4 linked regions of the Arabidopsis thaliana genome follow. The protein of the gene in region 4 interacts with the protein of the main gene of each other region in a pairwise test. Each region holds a gene or a part of one and is shown on either strand. Other genes may lie near its edges. The genes, in order: HOS10, AT1G47740, AT5G45580 and HAM3.

Region 1 (4,757 bases), on a different chromosome or scaffold from region 4:
TAATTTTAGGATCTCACCCGTAATATACCGTCCCTTGAATGATTTTAAATTTATACTACTAATATAGATTTTAAATTTATCATATAAAGTATATGATTTCAAGTTTTTGTGTTTTTTTATTTAAATAAAGCAACGGCTTAAATGATGATAGATTTAGTTCTTTTTCTTGTATGTGTATATGACTTTTGTGTGAATATTTTAATTATTATAAATTAGTATTTTTATTGCTATAGAAAATGTTAATATACATATTTGCTATAAATCGGATTTATGCATATTTTGTGGAATAAAATTCACAGATTTTGTTTTTGAATATATATGGAAAGATTGTAATTTTCTTGTAAATACATGTGGCTTTTCTTGTAAATAAGTCCAAACTACAGAATTTATTTCACAAAATAACTGTAAAAATATATATATGTAAATATCATTATATATGTATACACTGTTATTTTGCGAGTTTTATTTTGCAAATTTGTATTATTCAACTATATTATTAAACGCAATGTTACCAATCAAACCCTAAATAATATCTTTGGTGCACACAACTCCAAAAAGACATAACTTGTTATGAGATTTATTATCATTAAAAGAACCCGTTTAGCAATTCATACAAGGTTCATATGTGATCCCAATTTACAAACACAAACGTCACACGAGCTAGTAACAAGATCCGACCCCGACAAATCGAGTCGGACTGTACCCGAGTGTTAGGTCCAAGTTTAGCTCCTTGTCCAGATGATCATATCTGTAATCACAATCAACACTTAACCGTAAATCCTCGTCCGTAGTCGTACCGCTCGTAGAAGCACAGTTTTCACAAGAAGTCTCCATCTTTAGTTTAACAGAACCGGGAAACGTGGACTTCAAATCTTCATTTCGGGGATGAAACGATGTCGTTTTAGGCTCGATGATCGAACCGTGAGTTTTTGGGTCAATACCACGGTTAAGAAGCTTCCTTTTTATATGAGTGTTCCAATAATTTTTAATCTCATTATCGGTTCTTCCCGGTAATTTCCCAGCAATCAAAGACCATCTGAAAAAAAGACATTCGAAATGTAAGGAACATTGGTTTAAAACTTGGTCATTTGGGTATATTAAACCGGTTATTTATTTGGTTTTGTCAAATTGGATCTGCTTGTATTTTTATTATTTTTTTCTCATAAGTGTTGCACTTTATTTAAAACCTTATGTTGTAAAGATACAACTGTGGAACCTTCCACTTACAAATCTTGACACATATTAAACCTTACAACATTGGATCAACTAAAATATAGTCATCCATATTACATAAAAAACCAACAAGTCTAACTTATAAGCAGAGGCCCATAAAGAAAGCCCAAACCAGGAAACAAAACCTTTAGAGGAAGTAAATTAAAGATTCCCTTCCACCACAAAGCCACGTGTGATGTTAACAAACAAAGTTGAAACACGTTGACTGAAGAAGCCTTAGTTGTCGCCATTCACCACCGTTCTGGTTAGCAACTCAGGGAACTCTAAAACCACCGGAAACCGCCGGAGCTTCAAGAGAAGTCCATTGATTTTTAATTAGAGAATCCACCAAACTTCATTAGCAAATTTGGAAAGGAAAGATCTCCCAAAGGCAATTGATTCCTGAAATCTAAAGAACATCGACGTAGAGTAAGCCGATGGAGCTTTCAGCAACACCTTAAAAAAGAACAAAAAAGCACTCGTCTCCATAGATCAGTTAGAGAAACAGCCACAATTGCAATAGTTTCAACCCATAAGCATAAAAAACCTTAATCCGCATCTTAATTTGTTCTCAAAAAATGAAATCGATAAGCGTGGAAAACAAATTAATCCCTTTAAACAAAGGAGGTTCAAGGAATTATATGCCAGATCTAACAATGAAACGCAAAAGAGCTCAATCAAACTGAATATAAAGAAATCGAGAGAAGAAAACATAAATCTAAACCGGAATCAATCCGGCCAAAAGGTAGACGAAACACCGAAGATAGGCGGTGAAACTCTAGACCTTAGCTAGCCTACCGCCGCTAAAGAAGCCAATGGAAGCCAAACGCAAACCGACCATCGTCGTAAAGAACCGAACAGTGTCAGAAGAACCACGACAATCAAACGTTGCCCTAAACATCGCCGGACAAAAGCCAGACATCCATGCTGGAAAAGCCATAAGATTCTGGACAGAGAACTGGCCAACAAACACTAAAGAAGCTATTGTTGCCGGAAAAAGAAGATCAGATGCTTTCTCTCTCTAAAAGATGCAAATGAGAGAAGAGAGAGAGAAGCCTACAAAACCTTCTTTTCCATTCAAAACGCATAGAATGCTATCTTCTCAATACTGGATCTGCTTGTATATAAACCAAATTGTACATTTATTCATTTTTATAAACTGAAGAGAAAACCATTTGATTAGTTTTCTCCAGTGTTTTCAAACCGGTTGAACCAGTTTGACTGTGAATCGAATAGCTATCCGATTTGAGTTATCACCAAAAACCGGTATTAAAAAGACTCACAACACCCGGTTTAAAATCTGATTAAACCAGTGAACCGGTTCGGACTAATGACCAAAACCCGATTCTTCATTTTTTTTAGTCTTTCACGGTTTAACCATTGGTTTTACTTTTTTACAGTAAAACTGGTTTGTTCATAAATCATAATTAAGAGAAAGGAAATTACTTGTTGCCAAATAAACTATGAAGTTTGACAATGATTTGCTCTTCACCATCAGTGAAATTTCCACGTTTAAGATCAGGACGAAGGTAATTAATCCATCTTAATCTACAACTTTTTCCACAACGCAACAACCCTAAAGAAAAGATAAAATCATCAGATCAAGAAACATAAAAATTTGAAAGAAAAAAAATCAAAACTTTGGAGAAATTTACCAACGGATTTAGGAAGAGAACGCCAAGAGCCTTCACCATGATTACGTATATAATCAATAAGACGTTGATCTTCTTCTTTAGTCCATGCTCCTTTGTTCATGTGAGCCTTTTCACAACATGGTGATCTTCCCATGATGATGGTTACATGTGTGGGTGATGAGACAAGAAGAGTGAGACTAGGATCTAAAGAGAGGTGTTATAAAAAGGAAGTGACTTTGACCAAGTTGGTGTATGTATCTTGTATTTTGTGGGTGAAAAAGATTTGGTAGGTTACCTTCTTTTTCTTTCTTTCCTTAGAGCATGTCCATTAAGGAGTCCTAATAATGGAATCCTTACATTTTTATACTAATAAATTTTGAATTTTTTTGAAATTAAAGTTCTTGTTGAATCCTAAACTTTTTTCTAGTCCATTAGTGAATCCTTAAGTGGGTTTCTTAAAAAAATAAATATGATAAATATTTACTTGACAAAATATGCTAATTTATTTATTTGACAAAGGGTTAAAGCTAATTCGAAGAAAAAAAAGAGCTTGGAAATGTAAAAACTATTCCAATAGTATTATATAACCTCATCATCTTCCTTCGTGAGTTTCCCTGCCAATTGAGAATATAGATGTTGCACTCTTGCAAGCTTCCTCACAGTTTTTGGGGCTTAACAACCACCCTGTCACATATACCCTGCAAAGCAGAAACTGCAGAACATCAAGATTGAACTTACGTTTAACTTTTCTCTTGTATTCTCTCGTACAATAGAGAACTGACTGCAACAGTTTAGCAAATCACATCAGTATGCATATCAGGAAATTTCAATGAAATGGATTCTATAATTGTTCAAAGCACTTTCAAGTAAAAATTGACCTGGTTAGTAAGTCACGCTCTATCTCCATATCACGACCCCTTGAAGCAGCTCTAGGCCTAGTTGCAGCCAAAGCTTCACTACAGACACCTAATCGATTCCTTTGAAAAAGTCTCTCAGGCTGTTTGCAAACATATTTATTAGAAACAAAAAACGAAGGTGCACATATCTTTATCAACATCACTTGTTATCACACAAAAATTTAGTGATATCTAAATTGAAACATTGGTTTAATCTAAAAATTAACTACTAAATAATATCCAGACACAAAACACACCTATAACTGTGCTAGCCAAGCAATGGGATCAATGTCGGTATCAGTAAATTATCCTGCTGTTACGAGCAAGCACAACCTAATTCCACGAGCCCGAAACATCAGTTAAACGAAACTTATAAAACTGTTTTAAGAATCGATACGAACACAATCTCTAAACTATCTTATTAAGAGACGACGCGTGATGATGATAATCACCAATCGTACGATCGGCCTCCGGAGTTTACAAGAGAAGAGAAAGAAAATTAATCGTGAAATGAAAAAATAAACAAGGCCAAAAGCGAGAAAAAAAATTGTTTTGTCAAACACAGAGCCAATAATATATGGCCACGTATGCGCCCCTTGAGATCAGAATAAACTCTAAAATTAGGTGCGAACCTAAGAGCATCTCCACTGGTGAGATACTACATCAATACCTCATAATATATTATTAATATTTTTATATTTAATTTAAGTAGAGAAACTTATACTAAAATTGTGCTTCCATTGGTGAGATACTCTTATAGGTATCTTATTAATATTAAAATATTATTATATTTTTCATATATTAAATTTAATATCTCTACAATATTTTTAAATATATCAATTATTATTTTTACAAATTATATTATTAAGTAGTTTTATTATTTTTAAAACCATAATTAAACATTACTTTACATATAAAACCATAATAAAAATTAAGTCTTTCACTTGGTAATGGATTACCACTTATGTAAGATAAGTAGAAATTAAAAGATTTATTGATGATTAAATTTTAAATA
Region 2 (5,437 bases), on a different chromosome or scaffold from region 4:
CTCGTCTTACTCATAATCGCGTACGGTGGTGAAGGATTATACTATTTCGTTGAACAATTCATATGGTTAACGAAATCAGGACTGATCGATGCGAAACATTCGAAATGGCTTCAGAAGATTAGTGCTTGGGCTGAATTGGTTGGTTATGTAGGAAGTGTTTCGATTAAGATTAGGGATTTGAGGAAATTGAATGATGAAGAGAGTTGTGTTGCTTCGACGATCGAGATCTCGGTTTCGAGAGGATTAGCTTGTGATGGTGAAGATGAGAAGATGAAGATGATTAAGGAGAAGAAGACATTGAAGGTTTTATCTATTTTGCAGGATCTTGCTGATGGTTTGATGACGATTGCTGATATTCGTGATGGTAAGGGAGTGTTATCGGCTCCTAATGTGATATCTTCTGCAGGTTTGTTTTCTGCTATTGTTAGTACTCATAAGAACTGGATCTCTTGTTGATGATCATGATGATGATGTTCATCGTTCGTTTTTCGATTGAATTATAGTATTTGCTTATCGAATAAAGGTTTCGTTTTGATTCTTCGGTGGTTTGAACTAAGAGAGCTAGTTTAGATATAAACAGCGTTGATGCAATACATGATTTTGAAAATGAGAAAAGATTCAAATTTGGAAGCAATACAAACAGAAAGAAGATGAAGAATGGCTTATGAAAGCCTGTTAAAATCAAATGAAAAGCGATGGCGCGGGAAATCTGTTTTCGAACTCCATTACAAAGATAGAAGAAGGATAAATCGTGGTTTGTGTTGCTAACGAAACGAATGAGAGACCGCAATGGTTTTTGTTGGAATGTCTACCTTTCTTTCAAGGAGCTGCTGTTAGATTTTGAGCGTTTGAGTTGCCAAGGAGGTAAGCAGCCTCTGAGAGGTGATTGTAGGAACAATGATGATGTTGAAAGCTGTTTTTGTCTCATGGAGATGGATGATAAACAGCTGAATGAGCTTCTAAGACTTCTCTTTTCGTTTTCTTCCTCCGGGATTTGCCCGTCTGGATCGTGGCAGACCGCTGTTATCTTGAGGGACTCGGGAAGTATGCAGCTGCACACAGAACCTGCAGAAAAAAAAGTAAATTAGTCTTTCAAATAAGACTTCTTCAACAATTCTCAAATGCAACAAACATTTGTTACCTATTTGTGCAAGCCGATTCACCCATTTTGGGATCTTTTTCCCGGTAAGCTTGTAGCAAACGTCCTGGCAGAAATGGTTGCAGTTCTTAACAATCAAGTGATACATATTCCCGTAGTAACTGCAAGCCATGTCTTCCATAAACTCTCTCACTTGTGTTGGGTTTAAATTCGTGGTTCCAATGAATATCGATTTCTTGAACTTGAAGCCCGGGCATTGCCTTGGTTCAACCTCAAAAACACCACTCGTTGCATAATCATGGGCACCAAAAGCATACTCTACTCCATGAACTGTAAACGCCAAATGTTCAGAGTTAGCTATAGCAGTAACTATAAGTACACCAGAGATGCAAATCTTTGGATACTTCAACCATATGAACAAGAAAACACAAGCGAGCGCCTAAAGCTTACCTTCTACACCAGAGTGAAATATACCAAGGCCTGCCCAATAGATATATCCGTTAATAGGAGTCAAGTCATAAACATTGAGATACACTGGTGCACGGCCTGGACCATGGTTGTTTGACTTCAACTTCGAAAAGAAGCAAAACCGTGCAACTGATTTGCTTTTCAGATGAAGAGGACCAAGAGATTTCCAACGTTTCTTCGACACAACTTTCATCTTTTCCCCAAACCCTGACCGAAATTCTAGCAGCGACTCTGACCAACCTGCCGATGAAGAACCGAGCCACATAAGAAAAGTAGCAAACACATTATGATCTCTAATTAGTACATTAATCACACAAATGTCAAATCAAAACCTTACCTTTCTTCTGCTTAGGCTCTTCTTTTCCGTTCAACATTTGGATGCCTCAGTAGAGGTTATCCTGTATGTAAACATCATCAATCAATAAAAGATTCTGAAAGGTACAAAAGCAAAGACCTCTGTGCCACATTATGTTTTCATTGAACTTAAGAGACTGAAATGAAAAATTTTCCTATTTTATTTTATCTTATGCTAGTTGGCTGAAATACAACAACAGCTCATTTAAAAAGTCAGCACCAATCTCCATTGGCCGGCTTCAATCAGTTATATATACAAAAGCATAAAATATAATAGAGCATGCATCTTAGAATAAAGCAAGACAAGATTGGTCTCATTTTTTCCATCTTAATGATAAAAGACAAGACTGAGTCATCTAAACTGTGATTTTGTATCATTGTTAAACCAAATCCTTACTTCCCCAAATATACAGAGATCAAAAGGAAAAAGTGTGGTCATGTTACAGTGTTATAAAATCAAGTCTTGTTCACAAAGAGTTGCTACCATGTCAGATGCAATCATGAACGAGTTATGTATTAAATAAAGAGAAATAGACAGGAGAAGATGATACAGATAGATTAAGTAAGAGCTTAGGAGACAAGTCAATGGTTCAACAACTCATTCCAACTAATTGAGTCTGACCAAAAAAAGCAAATTTGATTCCACATTAAGATGAATAGTGAATATTAAAGAGTACCAAACAAACAGCATTACATTAGTGTTTCTAAGATCTAATAAACCTACAAACCTAACTAGTTCCCCAAAATAGTAAATCTTGAAAACTGGAGCTTACATTACTGAAAATGGAAGAATTGTGAAACTTTTATTGCAAATCAAATGTGACCCATTAAGCACAGTCAATTTATAAACACATTTAAGGTATCACAGAGACTAAAATCCCTAAGAGTAAGGAGACACTGATTTGGTCTTGTTCTAGGGTTTATGTTCCAGATCTGCCAAAATTAGCTTAAGGAAAGCAATAAAGACTAAAGATTAAACAAACCCTTTACTCAAAGATCTCGTTTTTTCCAATTTCTCCGGCAATTCCGACAAACAAAAAACCCCCATAAATTTGAGAAATTCAGAGATGAATCTTCAAGATAATGTAAGAATTGATACACCAAATTCAATTTTCAGAAGAGAAGATTAACTTACGAAATTGGGATGGATTCATCATTGCAAGTAGCATTAACTGTGAACCACCTGAGACTGAAACTTTGCAAGATTATTTTGTTGTTGTTGTTGTTGTAATAAGTTGAAAATCATAAGAAGAAGAAGATGAGAGAGTGGGAGAGAGAGAGAAAGAGGGGAAAAAGAAGGAATTTGTTCGCTCTTCTTTTCTCTCTCTCCCCTTTGTCTCTTCTTTTTTATTTTTTTTGGTTGCATGTTTTGTTTTTGTTTGTATTTTATCGTCTCTTACTCTGGTAACAGTACCAAAAAGGCTTTTGGGATGGTTAAAATTGTGTTTCGCTACAAAACGCTTTTAAATCAGTTTTTGTATTATTCTCTATTGATATGGTTATATGGGTGTATTCTCTTCGAGTTTGGATAGAGTATTTTGGATTATGAGATTTTGATACACAGCATTGATATACTATTCGCGTATTTTAAAATTTTGATGTTGGTTCAATTAGTTGATTGGAGAGATCTAAAACCATTATTTTTTGGGAATATTTTGATTTCTGACGTCTTTGAATTCTTTTTTTTTCTAACAGAGCATACTTTATGTAAAAGAATCAAGATAAGAAATTCCTTTAGCGCAACTTTTTACTCTAATAAATAATAATTTTTGATTTGGAAGAACGATAATTTTAGGACCTCCTCACTCTCCATTTATGAATCTGATATAACTGTTTGAAGTAGTATATATGGTACAACTGATATTTTTGAAATAACAACTAATATTTTCTTTTCAGGAGAATGAGCAACCTTCCAATAAACATATATTTTGATTATGATGGATATTATTCAAAAACCGGAGATGCATATCAATGAAATTCAAAAATAGTTGGTTTGTATGGTATATCGTTTAGGACATCATCAATAGAGGAGATAACTTACTCGCGGTTAGTGGATAAGATACTCATGAAGATTAAGATAAATGAATCTACGACAATCATTCCTCTTTTTTTATCTTTCCTAAATTAAAAAAAAAAAGTGATTTAAGAATATTTAGAGATAAGAGTTAGAACATTTAAGATTGAAAGTGTGTGGGTTATTATTTAAAAATTAAATATCAAAAGTAAAACTAGACACAATAAGATAGAGCGTGTGTATAACTAAAATGTTTTGTTATTATTCATTAATGACGTGTATAAAATTAATATCCAGTTTATTATCATGAAATGAATAGTTAAATTATATTGCAAAATAGAATGTGTTAAATTTGAATTTTTGTTCAAAAATTCTTTATATTAAATGAAAGAAAAAATGTAGATTACTATTACAATTCAAATATTATTAAAAAAATCTATTTATTTCTCACACCAGTATAAATTTTGTATATTATTAAATATCACTAGATTAGTTTAGTTGGTTTAGTGCTTTATGTATAGTTTTGTTATCAACTCTGGTTAAGAGTCTTGGTATTTTAAGTCTTTCTTTGTACATCTTTTACGATTAAATTTAGTGGGAAAACAGTCGATTTCCCTCCAAGAAGTATTGACATCACGTCAGATAGAGCCTATTTTTTTTTATCTCGGTCTAGATGTTTAGGAAATGGAAGTTTAACACCTATAAGCATTTTTTCCTTTTCCAATTTAGTGGAAAAGGAAAAAGTTGAGACATATAAGCATAAATCGTGGAAAGGAAGTACCGACTTAGGGTTTTCTCCAAGATGGAGCAAAGAGAAGAGAAGACCGAAAATATCCAGAGAAAAAGAAGCAGAGGAAAATCTTCATCATCATCCTTACCTCTCGATCTAACCTCGGAGATATTCTCAAGGCTGCCTGCGAAGTCTGTCGTGAGGTTTCGTTGTGTTTCAAAGCTTTGGTCATCAATCACCACCGCTCCATATTTCACCAACTCCTTTGAAACTCGGCCGAATCTCATGTTCTTTTTCAAAGAAGGTGACAAGTTCTTTGTTTTCACGATTCCTCAACACAATCAGAATCCGAACGAGTCTTATTCTTATTCTTCTTCTGAGATTATTGATAGTTACCATACAACCTATCCAAAACGTTGTTGCGTCACCACTTTAACCGAGTCGGTCCACGGCTTGATCTGCTTTCGAAAAGCAGCAACCCCTATAATTTGGAACCCTACTATGAGAAAGTTCAAACCTTTACGCAAGCTGGATGAGAGGTGGAAGAATATAAAAGTCTCTTTAGGGTACGATCCAGTTGATGGTAAACACAAAGTAGTGTGCATGCCGTATGGTAATGCTTTTTATGAGTGTCGGGTGTTAACATTGGGATCAGATCAAGAATGGAGAACTGTTAAAACCAACCACAAAAATAGCCCTTTTACATTCCATGGTGGAGTTTGTTATAGACAATCCAGATGCATCAACGGTGTTATATATTATCGAGCTGATA
Region 3 (4,614 bases), on a different chromosome or scaffold from region 4:
GAGTGTAAAGAATTTGTTTTGTTAATTGATGCAGTCAAAGAAATCGAAGCGTAGATTGAGACAACCTGGACTAGTACCACCAGCATATGCGAAAGTCATGAAGAAACTCAATTTCTGCAATTGAGAGATAGAGCATGAAACAGTATGATTACGATGAAAGCCAGTCTCTTCCAGTTTTTACCAGATAATTTTGCTCACTGGTACTCAAAAAATCTTTATGTTTCAGTTTAACTTCATTGGAATAAATTGAGTTTTCGAAATATGGTGAAATTGGCGTTAAGACTGATCGGTTTTGAAAAGAGAAACAAGTTAGGCTTATGATTTTTTCTCAAGTACATTTTCCAGCTAAACCAGAAGAAACTTTGTTTCCCGAGTCGGTCCGGTTATATGATATTTCGGTTTAGTCAGATTGTACCGGTGTAAACCGAGCTTTGGATTGAAAAATACACCCATTCTCATGTTTGGTTAGGACAAAACGATTGCGGTCGAACGAAGCGGCCTTGGTTCCACGTGTGTATTTCTTGTGGGTCTCAATTTCAACAAACGTAAAAGACAAAAGAGTAACAAAGCCGTCCACGTGTCCTATGTTGAAATACCATTAAACCCCCACCGTCGAACATGTGAGTTTCAGATTATTGTATTTTCCTTGTCCGACGGCGAATATTCCACGCTGGCAGTCTACGTGACATGCTCGCCCCATGCACTTTGTTTTCGTCATATAAATTCCTTTTTAAAACCATTGAATTATTATTGTTATTGTTTTTAAAAAAATACAAAAAAAGGTTTTATGTCGCTCTTGTCGGAATTTGACACCGCTCATCACTCATCATGTATTGATCGTCGCCGAATACAACGATTTGTTTTTTTTTTAAAACAATTTTTAAAAGGTCACAATACAACAATGAATTTCATCAAATCTTTTATCAAAAAAAAAATGAATTTCATTTTATTTGATTATTCGGAATTGATTTATGTGTAATGTGGAATGTGTAATAACAAATTACTAATTTAGTAATTTGGTCGAAACATTTTCTATGTTTATTTTCTTCTTCTATCTCAAATTGAGACTATCCGACAACATATGAATGATAAATTTATATGATACCTAAATAAAGGAACAACATGGAGAGAGATTTTGATTCATGGATTGTATGAGAATGAGACAAAACCTTTAGTCATAAGTTATCTGATTTAAAAACACATAAATCTAACATATAAATTATTCAAATGATAAAAATGATAATTCCTAGAAACTATATATTCTTTGGACATTAATAATCTAGGTATAGTAAACAAATATCCATGATGCGGGCCATGTTCCTCTCTCCCATGTTACGATTCTGAATATACAAATACCTCTTGATTGATTACAAAAAGAAAAAAAAAAGTACGCAATCATGTATATATTTTATTCTACAACATGACATATACACGGTCTAGCATCTCATAGACACAATTAAAAACGCAAGTAATATGCGGTTGGTAATTGCGTTTGTATGCAATAAATCACTAATCAGTCATAATACAATAAAATTTTGCTATGTTTTGCTTTCATACTATTCACAAAATCGATATAAAAAACGTTAATAATTACTATTTTCTTTTTTATTATCATAATATTTCGATATGGATACAATTTGTTTTTGTATATAAACAAACTTTTAGTGTTGGATCCATAATTTGTATTATACATATATTATAATAATACTATATTAACCGAAGGTTGACGTTAAGTCACGAATAATGTCACCACTTCTCCTCCTCCATCATCATCATCACCGCGACGACTTTTTTAAGTTCCCTTTCTCTCTCTCTGAGATTTTCCTCAAAAAGTTTTCTGATCTCTTTTTCTCCATCAATCATCACACTTCTTTCTATTTATCTCGTCCTCTCGTCGCCGATTATCTCTTTACCCTAATCACTCGCATTCCCATCTTTAACAAAATTTCTTCCACTTTCTTTCCGACCAATATTTCGTAGTTCGATTGCCATTTTTCCTTTTTTTGAGTTTACGCTTCCTCTTTCCGATCACATCCTTGAGAAGAGGAAAATTTCGAAGTTATTTGATTCATTCTTCCGACTGAGTTTCCCGCCATTATTTTGTTTGATCGGAAAATTAAATGGAAAGAGTGAATCTCGGAGGTTTAGGTTACGATAATGGCGGAGTTATGATGACTAGAGATCCCAAACCTAGGCTCAGATGGACAGCCGATCTTCATGATCGCTTCGTCGACGCCGTCGCTAAGCTCGGTGGCGCTGACAGTAAGCTCCTCTTTCCTCCTCTTCTTCAATTGTGATAACCGGTTTCACTTTATAATTCCGGTTCAGTCCGGTTAAATCTACAGTTGATGTATCTGTGTAACAACATTATAGCTCTTTTACTCTTTCTTATTCTTCAATTGAGATAACCGGTTTCACATTATGATTCCGGTTCACTTCGGTTTGGTTGGTTAAGTTAATGCCAGTGATTCAATTGATTCTTCTCTATGTAGCTTGATAACTTCAAATTTAATAGGTTACAAATGTAATTATATCTGTTTGCTTAGTGACATTTGTTATTGGTTTGGTTTTGTAGAAGCAACTCCTAAATCGGTTCTGAAGCTGATGGGATTAAAAGGTTTAACACTGTACCATCTCAAGAGCCATTTACAGGTCCAAATTTATACAAATTTGAGTATATAATAATGTATAATGTCTACAAATTGTTGGTTTATATTCTCTCTTATGATGTGTTTCTATATGCAGAAGTATAGACTTGGTCAACAACAAGGCAAAAAACAAAATAGAACAGAACAAAACAAAGAAAATGCTGGTATGTATGATTATTATCAAGAATTCAAGATTTATATATAATTCAGCTTATAGTAGAGTATAATATATATATACATATGATGTATTTAAGGAATATTAATGTAGATAACATTTGAGAAACCAAAGATTGATTGATTTTTGTATTCACAGGAAGTTCATATGTGCATTTCGACAATTGTTCTCAAGGAGGAATCTCCAATGATTCAAGATTTGATAACCATCAAAGGTATATTATATATGAATTTGCCTTCTCTCGACATAATGGATTTGTAAAGCTTGAGTTTGACATAATGTTAATGAACACACGTAGACAAAGCGGGAATGTACCTTTTGCTGAGGCAATGAGACATCAGGTCGATGCGCAACAACGGTTTCAAGAACAACTCGAGGTAACAAATCTCTTCTTTCTTCTCTCACAACAATGAATAAAAGTTTTAAACCGAAGTTTTTGCGGTGTTATAGGTGCAGAAAAAACTGCAGATGAGAATGGAGGCACAAGGAAAATATTTGTTGACATTACTAGAGAAAGCACAGAAGAGCTTACCTTGTGGTAATGCAGGGGAAACAGACAAGGGTCAATTCTCGGATTTCAATCTCGCACTTTCGGGACTTGTAGGAAGTGATCGTAAGAACGAGAAGGCGGGTTTGGTTACTGATATCTCACACCTTAATGGTGGTGATTCCTCTCAAGAGTTTCGGTTATGTGGAGAACAAGAGAAAATAGAAACCGGAGATGCATGTGTTAAACCAGAATCCGGGTTTGTGCATTTTGATTTGAACTCCAAAAGTGGGTATGATCTCTTGAATTGTGGGAAATATGGGATTGAAGTGAAGCCAAATGTGATTGGAGATAGACTTCAATAGGTTAAAGAGACACTTTCTTTAATTTTTTATTTTATTTTATTATTTCTTTACATTTCTTATAGAATGTTACAAATTTGGCTTCATGGTTTCTCAGTCAAATATCAAGAACATATTTGAAGTCCAAAGTAGTTGATATCAGCTAAATACGGAATAATTGGGTTTAACTAAATAAGTTATTTTTGTGAATAATAAAGTGTAGCATCTTCTCTCGCTTGTTCTGCAAAATTCAAAACCTATTTGCTTGTTTCTTAATTCTTTTCAAAAATATGTCTATGCATCTAATTGTCTCTTTCTAAAAAATGAGGATCAAACAAAGATGAGATTTGATTCTCATGATTGATTTTCTCAGTTAAAAATAAGGGAAATTTAATAGAGTAACCCATATTTTATACATAAAGACCCAAAAGGAATGCTAAAAATATGAGTTATTTGAGTAATAATTATACCTAAATTATCCTTGTTTTCCTTTGCAGAGAAAAACAATATTACAGAAATGCCATTACTATTTAATTCCAGCAAGGCAATAAAACCACATTTATTTACGAAAATGCCATCGTCGTTTTTGATAAATCTGTGGCTCTTGTTGCGACGGATTTGTTATCGATCACAGATTTGTTGGTCAACCACAGATTTTTTACAACAGACTTGTTTTGTACCCCAGACTTTCCTGTGTTATGTTACGCCAGATTTTTTTTTTTTCGCAGATTTTTTAACCGTGACTAATTTGTTTCATATAGTCTCCACAGATTTTATTTAAATTTCAAAAGTAAGAATGTTGAAACCAAATCTGTCACTGATTTGTTTTTCGGACCACAGATTTTTCTTTATGGCGGCAACAGATTTTCTATTTGCACCCAAAAATCTGTTGTGTTATAACAGATTTGTTAACCTCGAAAAATGTTATATAGGCATGACAGAGTTGTTTTGTGTAATCACAGA
Region 4 (4,939 bases):
TGTCAATGATCAAATGAGAGTTAGATTATGTTTAAGGAAATGTATATGATTAAAGAAATAAGGAAATTCCTTTACCAACTTTATATTGTGGTAATTGTTAATTACTTCCCGCCGATCTTGGTTTTTTTTTTTTAATCATAATTATTATTACTTTGGCTCTAATGAGATGAAGAAATCTTCTCTATTTTTCTTTATCCTTATCAGTCCCATGTGATCTCCTAATAATAATTGATCAATTTTTGTCTAATCTAACTAATCATCATCCTAAAATCTAATACAAAATGAACGACGCAATCATTTATATATGGTTACATGCATACAAACTCTAACACGTTATCCTTCAATATAAATTATTGTTTGACAAGATTAATATATTTAGCTGACTTGTTTCTTCCTCTAATTATGGCAAAGCACGATTCTGTTCATCATACGAACTATCCGATTGAGTGGGGTTGGGTGTGTTGCTTGTGATGAAGGGTGCCTTGAGACGAGAGAAAAGAACATGTTTTCACCACGTAACTTACTTCACCCTCACGAAGTTAACACACACATATATTTAGTATTCCAATATACCAAATATTATATTAATATATCATGAAACTTGAAAATGTGTTGGTGTATTATGTATGTCAATAAGAAATAATATTAATACAGTTTCGCGATCATTTCAAGATTTATAATAATTTTGTATAAGAAAGAAAAGTGTGAGAAGTAGTTGTTAGCAAATCACATGGGAACATATAAACTAATTAAATCTTAAAAATGAACATTTTAACTTTTTGTTGTTATATAAAGTAAGTTAACTATCAATAATCATCAAATATTTATGGTACTTAACAAGTATTATAATATGGGACTAAAAATTACTATACAAGAAACTGAACTCTGTGTTTTTTTGTGCGGTCATAATTCGCATATAAAAGATAGATTCAGAATCTGATATTGTTTATACTTTTTTTTTTTTCTTTGATATTGTTTATACTAATGAATTGGTTTGCATAGAAAAGTAAATGCTTTTTCATTATCATGAATACATGATAATGAAACTGTCGCCATTCATTGCAAAATTGGTCCGATTTTAATCTGTCTTCATCAATTACCCACCTCTCTTTCTTGTTGTTTTTTCTGATTGCTTTATTCATTTATTTATTATAGGGTTTTCCATTGGTAGATATATTTATATATGTATATATATGGTGATTGGTGACTTCCATTGTCTGCTCAATAAAGGACTACCACTCGTTCTTTCTCAATCTCTCGTGCATTTAACTTGTCACAGAAGAAACATCATTCACAGATCTTCAATCACTTTTTTCCTTCAAACGAAAAGATGTACCAAAGAAAGTATGTTTTTATATACACGTAAATATATATATAACTCCTTCTTTGTTATAAGTAGTACATGAATGTTTCAGATAATGACGATCATTCGTATCTCGTTAAGTTAAAACAAGAAAAACAAAACAGATATTTTTGATGTAACTCCAATATATACATAGTTTTTGTTTCCACTTTGTTTAGATTTATAAATTTAGATTATGTCCGTAGCAAAAAAAAAAAAAAAAAGGAAACACAAATTAATATAAGCACTGCAATATGTGGTTTAGCTCGTACAATGGATTGGGTGATTTGAGTGGTTAATTTGATAAAGATGATCCAAAAGCTTGTCCAAACCCTAAAACAAACTATTGGGGACAAAGATCACACAAAAGGAAATAACGACAGCACCTTTGAGATAAAACAAAACAAAACAATATCCCAAATATAGTTTGCAAGCCACAAAGTTTTAATCATGAAAATAAATTATAAGAAAACAAAAACATTCCCAATATATTATGACATCCTTTTTTTTTTTTGGGCAAGTATTATGACATCTAAATATACAGTACAACATCAAAAATATGGGGAAAATGTTTTTTTTTTTTAATAGTTTCTAGTAATTCAAGAAGACAAATACAATATTTAAAAATATATCATAACATTTAGTATTTTTGTTTACCATCATGTTCATGTCACTGAAAGGAGTTTGCAAGCCACGCGCGTGATGTAAGAGTGGGGTTGTAATAGAAGACATAGTTAAGATTAGAAAGCAAAGATTAACAAAATGTTGTGTAAGAGAAGCTGATGAATTGTTTAATCAGCTAAGTTAATGACAAAGGCAAAATGATAGGAAACGGAAATAAGAGAGAAAAAGAAAGGAGGAAGCCCACTTTGCCACTTTAATATCTTGCACGCATCCAATATACCTCACCACACCACATCACAACAACGAAGAAGAAGAAGAAGAAGAAGAGCTTCAAGAAGACAAATACACTATTTTTTATCGTCTGCAATGCCCTTACCCTTTGAAGAGTTTCAAGGGAAGGGGATTTCTTGTTTCTCTTCTTTCTCGTCTTCCTTCCCCCAACCACCGTCGTCTCCGCTTTTGAGCCACCGCAAAGCAAGAGGCGGCGAAGAAGAAGAGGAAGAAGTTCCCGCGGCGGAGCCTACCTCTGTTCTGGACTCCCTCATAAGCCCAACCTCTTCCTCCACGGTGTCTTCCTCTCACGGCGGAAACAGCGCCGTCGGAGGCGGCGGCGACGCCACCACCGATGAGCAATGCGGAGCCATTGGGTTGGGTGATTGGGAGGAGCAAGTTCCTCATGACCACGAACAGAGCATTCTCGGACTCATCATGGGAGATTCCACAGATCCCTCTCTTGAACTCAACAGCATTCTCCAAACATCTCCCACCTTCCACGACTCTGACTACTCATCACCCGGTTTCGGAGTCGTCGACACCGGCTTCGGTTTAGACCACCACTCTGTTCCGCCGTCACATGTTTCCGGTCTTCTGATCAACCAAAGTCAAACCCACTACACACAGAATCCTGCGGCTATCTTCTACGGCCACCACCACCATACACCTCCGCCGGCAAAGCGGCTCAACCCTGGTCCCGTGGGGATAACAGAGCAGCTGGTTAAGGCAGCAGAGGTCATAGAGAGCGACACGTGTCTAGCTCAGGGGATATTGGCGCGGCTCAATCAACAGCTCTCTTCTCCCGTCGGGAAGCCATTAGAAAGAGCAGCTTTTTACTTCAAAGAAGCTCTCAATAATCTCCTTCACAACGTCTCCCAAACCCTAAACCCTTATTCCCTCATCTTCAAGATCGCTGCTTACAAATCCTTCTCAGAGATCTCTCCCGTTCTTCAGTTCGCCAACTTTACCTCCAACCAAGCCCTCTTAGAGTCCTTCCATGGCTTCCACCGTCTCCACATCATCGACTTCGATATCGGCTACGGTGGCCAATGGGCTTCCCTCATGCAAGAGCTTGTTCTCCGCGACAACGCCGCTCCTCTCTCCCTCAAGATCACCGTTTTCGCTTCTCCGGCGAACCACGACCAGCTCGAACTTGGCTTCACTCAAGACAACCTCAAGCACTTCGCCTCTGAGATCAACATCTCCCTTGACATCCAAGTTTTGAGCTTAGACCTCCTCGGCTCCATCTCGTGGCCTAACTCGTCGGAGAAAGAAGCTGTCGCCGTTAACATCTCCGCCGCGTCCTTCTCGCACCTCCCTTTGGTCCTCCGTTTCGTGAAGCATCTATCTCCGACGATCATCGTCTGCTCCGACAGAGGATGCGAGAGGACGGATCTGCCCTTCTCTCAACAGCTCGCCCACTCGCTGCACTCACACACCGCTCTCTTCGAATCCCTCGACGCCGTCAACGCCAACCTCGACGCAATGCAGAAGATCGAGAGGTTTCTTATACAGCCGGAGATAGAGAAGCTGGTGTTGGATCGTAGCCGTCCGATAGAAAGGCCGATGATGACGTGGCAAGCGATGTTTCTACAGATGGGTTTCTCACCGGTGACGCACAGTAACTTCACGGAGTCTCAAGCCGAGTGTTTAGTCCAACGGACGCCAGTGAGAGGCTTTCACGTCGAGAAGAAACATAACTCACTTCTCCTATGTTGGCAAAGGACAGAACTCGTCGGAGTTTCAGCATGGAGATGTCGCTCCTCCTGATTTCCACCGGAGTTTCAATTATTAAAAAAATATTTTCCTTAATTCAATTTATCTTAAATGACAAATTTTTAGTTTCTGATTTTATTTTGCTCAGTGCGATGGATTTTTAAATTTAAGTTTCACACAAATATATAAATTTTTGTGAGAAGTTAATTAATTGTCTGATTATCAAACACTTATTGTATAACACATTCAATATATATTAATTGTGGGGATTATTTTTGATCGACTAAATAACGTGATAGAATAATGCTTGGATTAGCTCAATACTATATTTTTCTAATTAAAAATGAATGGGGTGTTGATTTTGATGCGAGGCAGAAAGCTACTGCTCATTATTGTGATTATATGATTATATAATGGTTAGAGTTTGTTGTGGTTTGTGTCTTTGCGAGGGGTCTATTTTTAATTTATAAACATATGTCTCCATGATGTCACATGGGTCTTGTATTATTTTATTTATTTGGACCACAATACATTTTTGTGTGCGCCGTTTCTAACCTTTTTTTTTCTCCGACGAAACAAAGGTTTGCTTTTTCTCCTTTAAATGGTCCATACGCATTACATATATAATGCGCCCATTTGCTTTACGCATTAACTGCATTTCTCTATAGAAATATTTCAGAAACAAACCAAGTGTATACAATACATCAACATGTTTTTTTTGGGGTTTTAATGTGAAGATTTCATTTCAATAAAAAGATTACAAGCTAATCTAAGTAATACAAACCAACATATTTTGGTTTACTCTTTATATTAAAACATCATTTAGGATAATTATTTAAAATATATATTCAAACATCTAAGGTCCTAATTAAGCATTACAAAAGATTTCCGTTTTAGAAACATATCAAGAGTTGATTAAATGGAGAAAGACGACTAAAATTTGTGAGTGAAAAATGACAATATGCCGCAAGTTATTGTCTCTTG

The links.
Region 1: the proteins of HAM3 (region 4) and HOS10 interact in a two-hybrid assay, tested with the Arabidopsis thaliana proteins (one large-scale study listed by BioGRID).
Region 2: the proteins of HAM3 (region 4) and AT1G47740 interact in a two-hybrid assay, tested with the Arabidopsis thaliana proteins (one large-scale study listed by BioGRID).
Region 3: the proteins of HAM3 (region 4) and AT5G45580 interact in a two-hybrid assay, tested with the Arabidopsis thaliana proteins (one large-scale study listed by BioGRID).

What each region holds. Positions count from the first base shown.
Region 1 is NC_003070.9:13,076,169-13,080,925, reverse strand, and holds HOS10 (high response to osmotic stress 10), read right to left. Parts: upstream 3,037-4,757; 5' UTR 3,001-3,036; coding exon 2,868-3,000; intron 2,789-2,867; coding exon 2,659-2,788; intron 2,511-2,658; exon of another isoform or gene 2,153-2,510; coding exon of another isoform or gene 1,997-2,152; intron 1,622-1,996; coding exon of another isoform or gene 1,545-1,621; exon of another isoform or gene 1,153-1,544; intron 1,037-1,152; coding exon 661-1,036; downstream 1-660. Other genes in the region: AT1G35516 (myb-like transcription factor family protein), read right to left, coding at 1,545-1,621, 2,011-2,152. UniProt on the Arabidopsis thaliana protein: Transcription activator.
Region 2 is NC_003070.9:17,564,407-17,569,843, reverse strand, and holds AT1G47740 (PPPDE putative thiol peptidase family protein), read right to left. Parts: upstream 3,334-5,437; 5' UTR 3,057-3,333; intron 3,044-3,056; exon of another isoform or gene 1,966-3,043; 5' UTR 1,942-1,965; coding exon 1,905-1,941; intron 1,808-1,904; coding exon 1,550-1,807; intron 1,430-1,549; coding exon 1,142-1,429; intron 1,066-1,141; coding exon 809-1,065; 3' UTR 547-808; downstream 1-546. Other genes in the region: PEX11A (peroxin 11A), read left to right, coding at 1-456; AT1G47730 (F-box and associated interaction domains-containing protein), read left to right, coding at 4,738-5,437.
Region 3 is NC_003076.8:18,480,153-18,484,766, reverse strand, and holds AT5G45580 (Homeodomain-like superfamily protein), read left to right. Parts: upstream 1-1,758; 5' UTR 1,759-2,120; coding exon 2,121-2,262; intron 2,263-2,575; coding exon 2,576-2,652; exon of another isoform or gene 2,653-2,691; coding exon of another isoform or gene 2,692-2,745; coding exon 2,746-2,812; intron 2,813-2,961; coding exon 2,962-3,037; intron 3,038-3,121; coding exon 3,122-3,200; intron 3,201-3,273; coding exon 3,274-3,675; 3' UTR 3,676-3,958; downstream 3,959-4,614. Other genes in the region: AT5G45590 (Ribosomal protein L35), read left to right, coding at 35-124.
Region 4 is NC_003075.7:56,499-61,437, reverse strand, and holds HAM3 (GRAS family transcription factor), read left to right. Parts: upstream 1-1,942; 5' UTR 1,943-2,332; coding exon 2,333-4,009; 3' UTR 4,010-4,298; downstream 4,299-4,939. UniProt on the Arabidopsis thaliana protein: Probable transcription factor involved in plant development.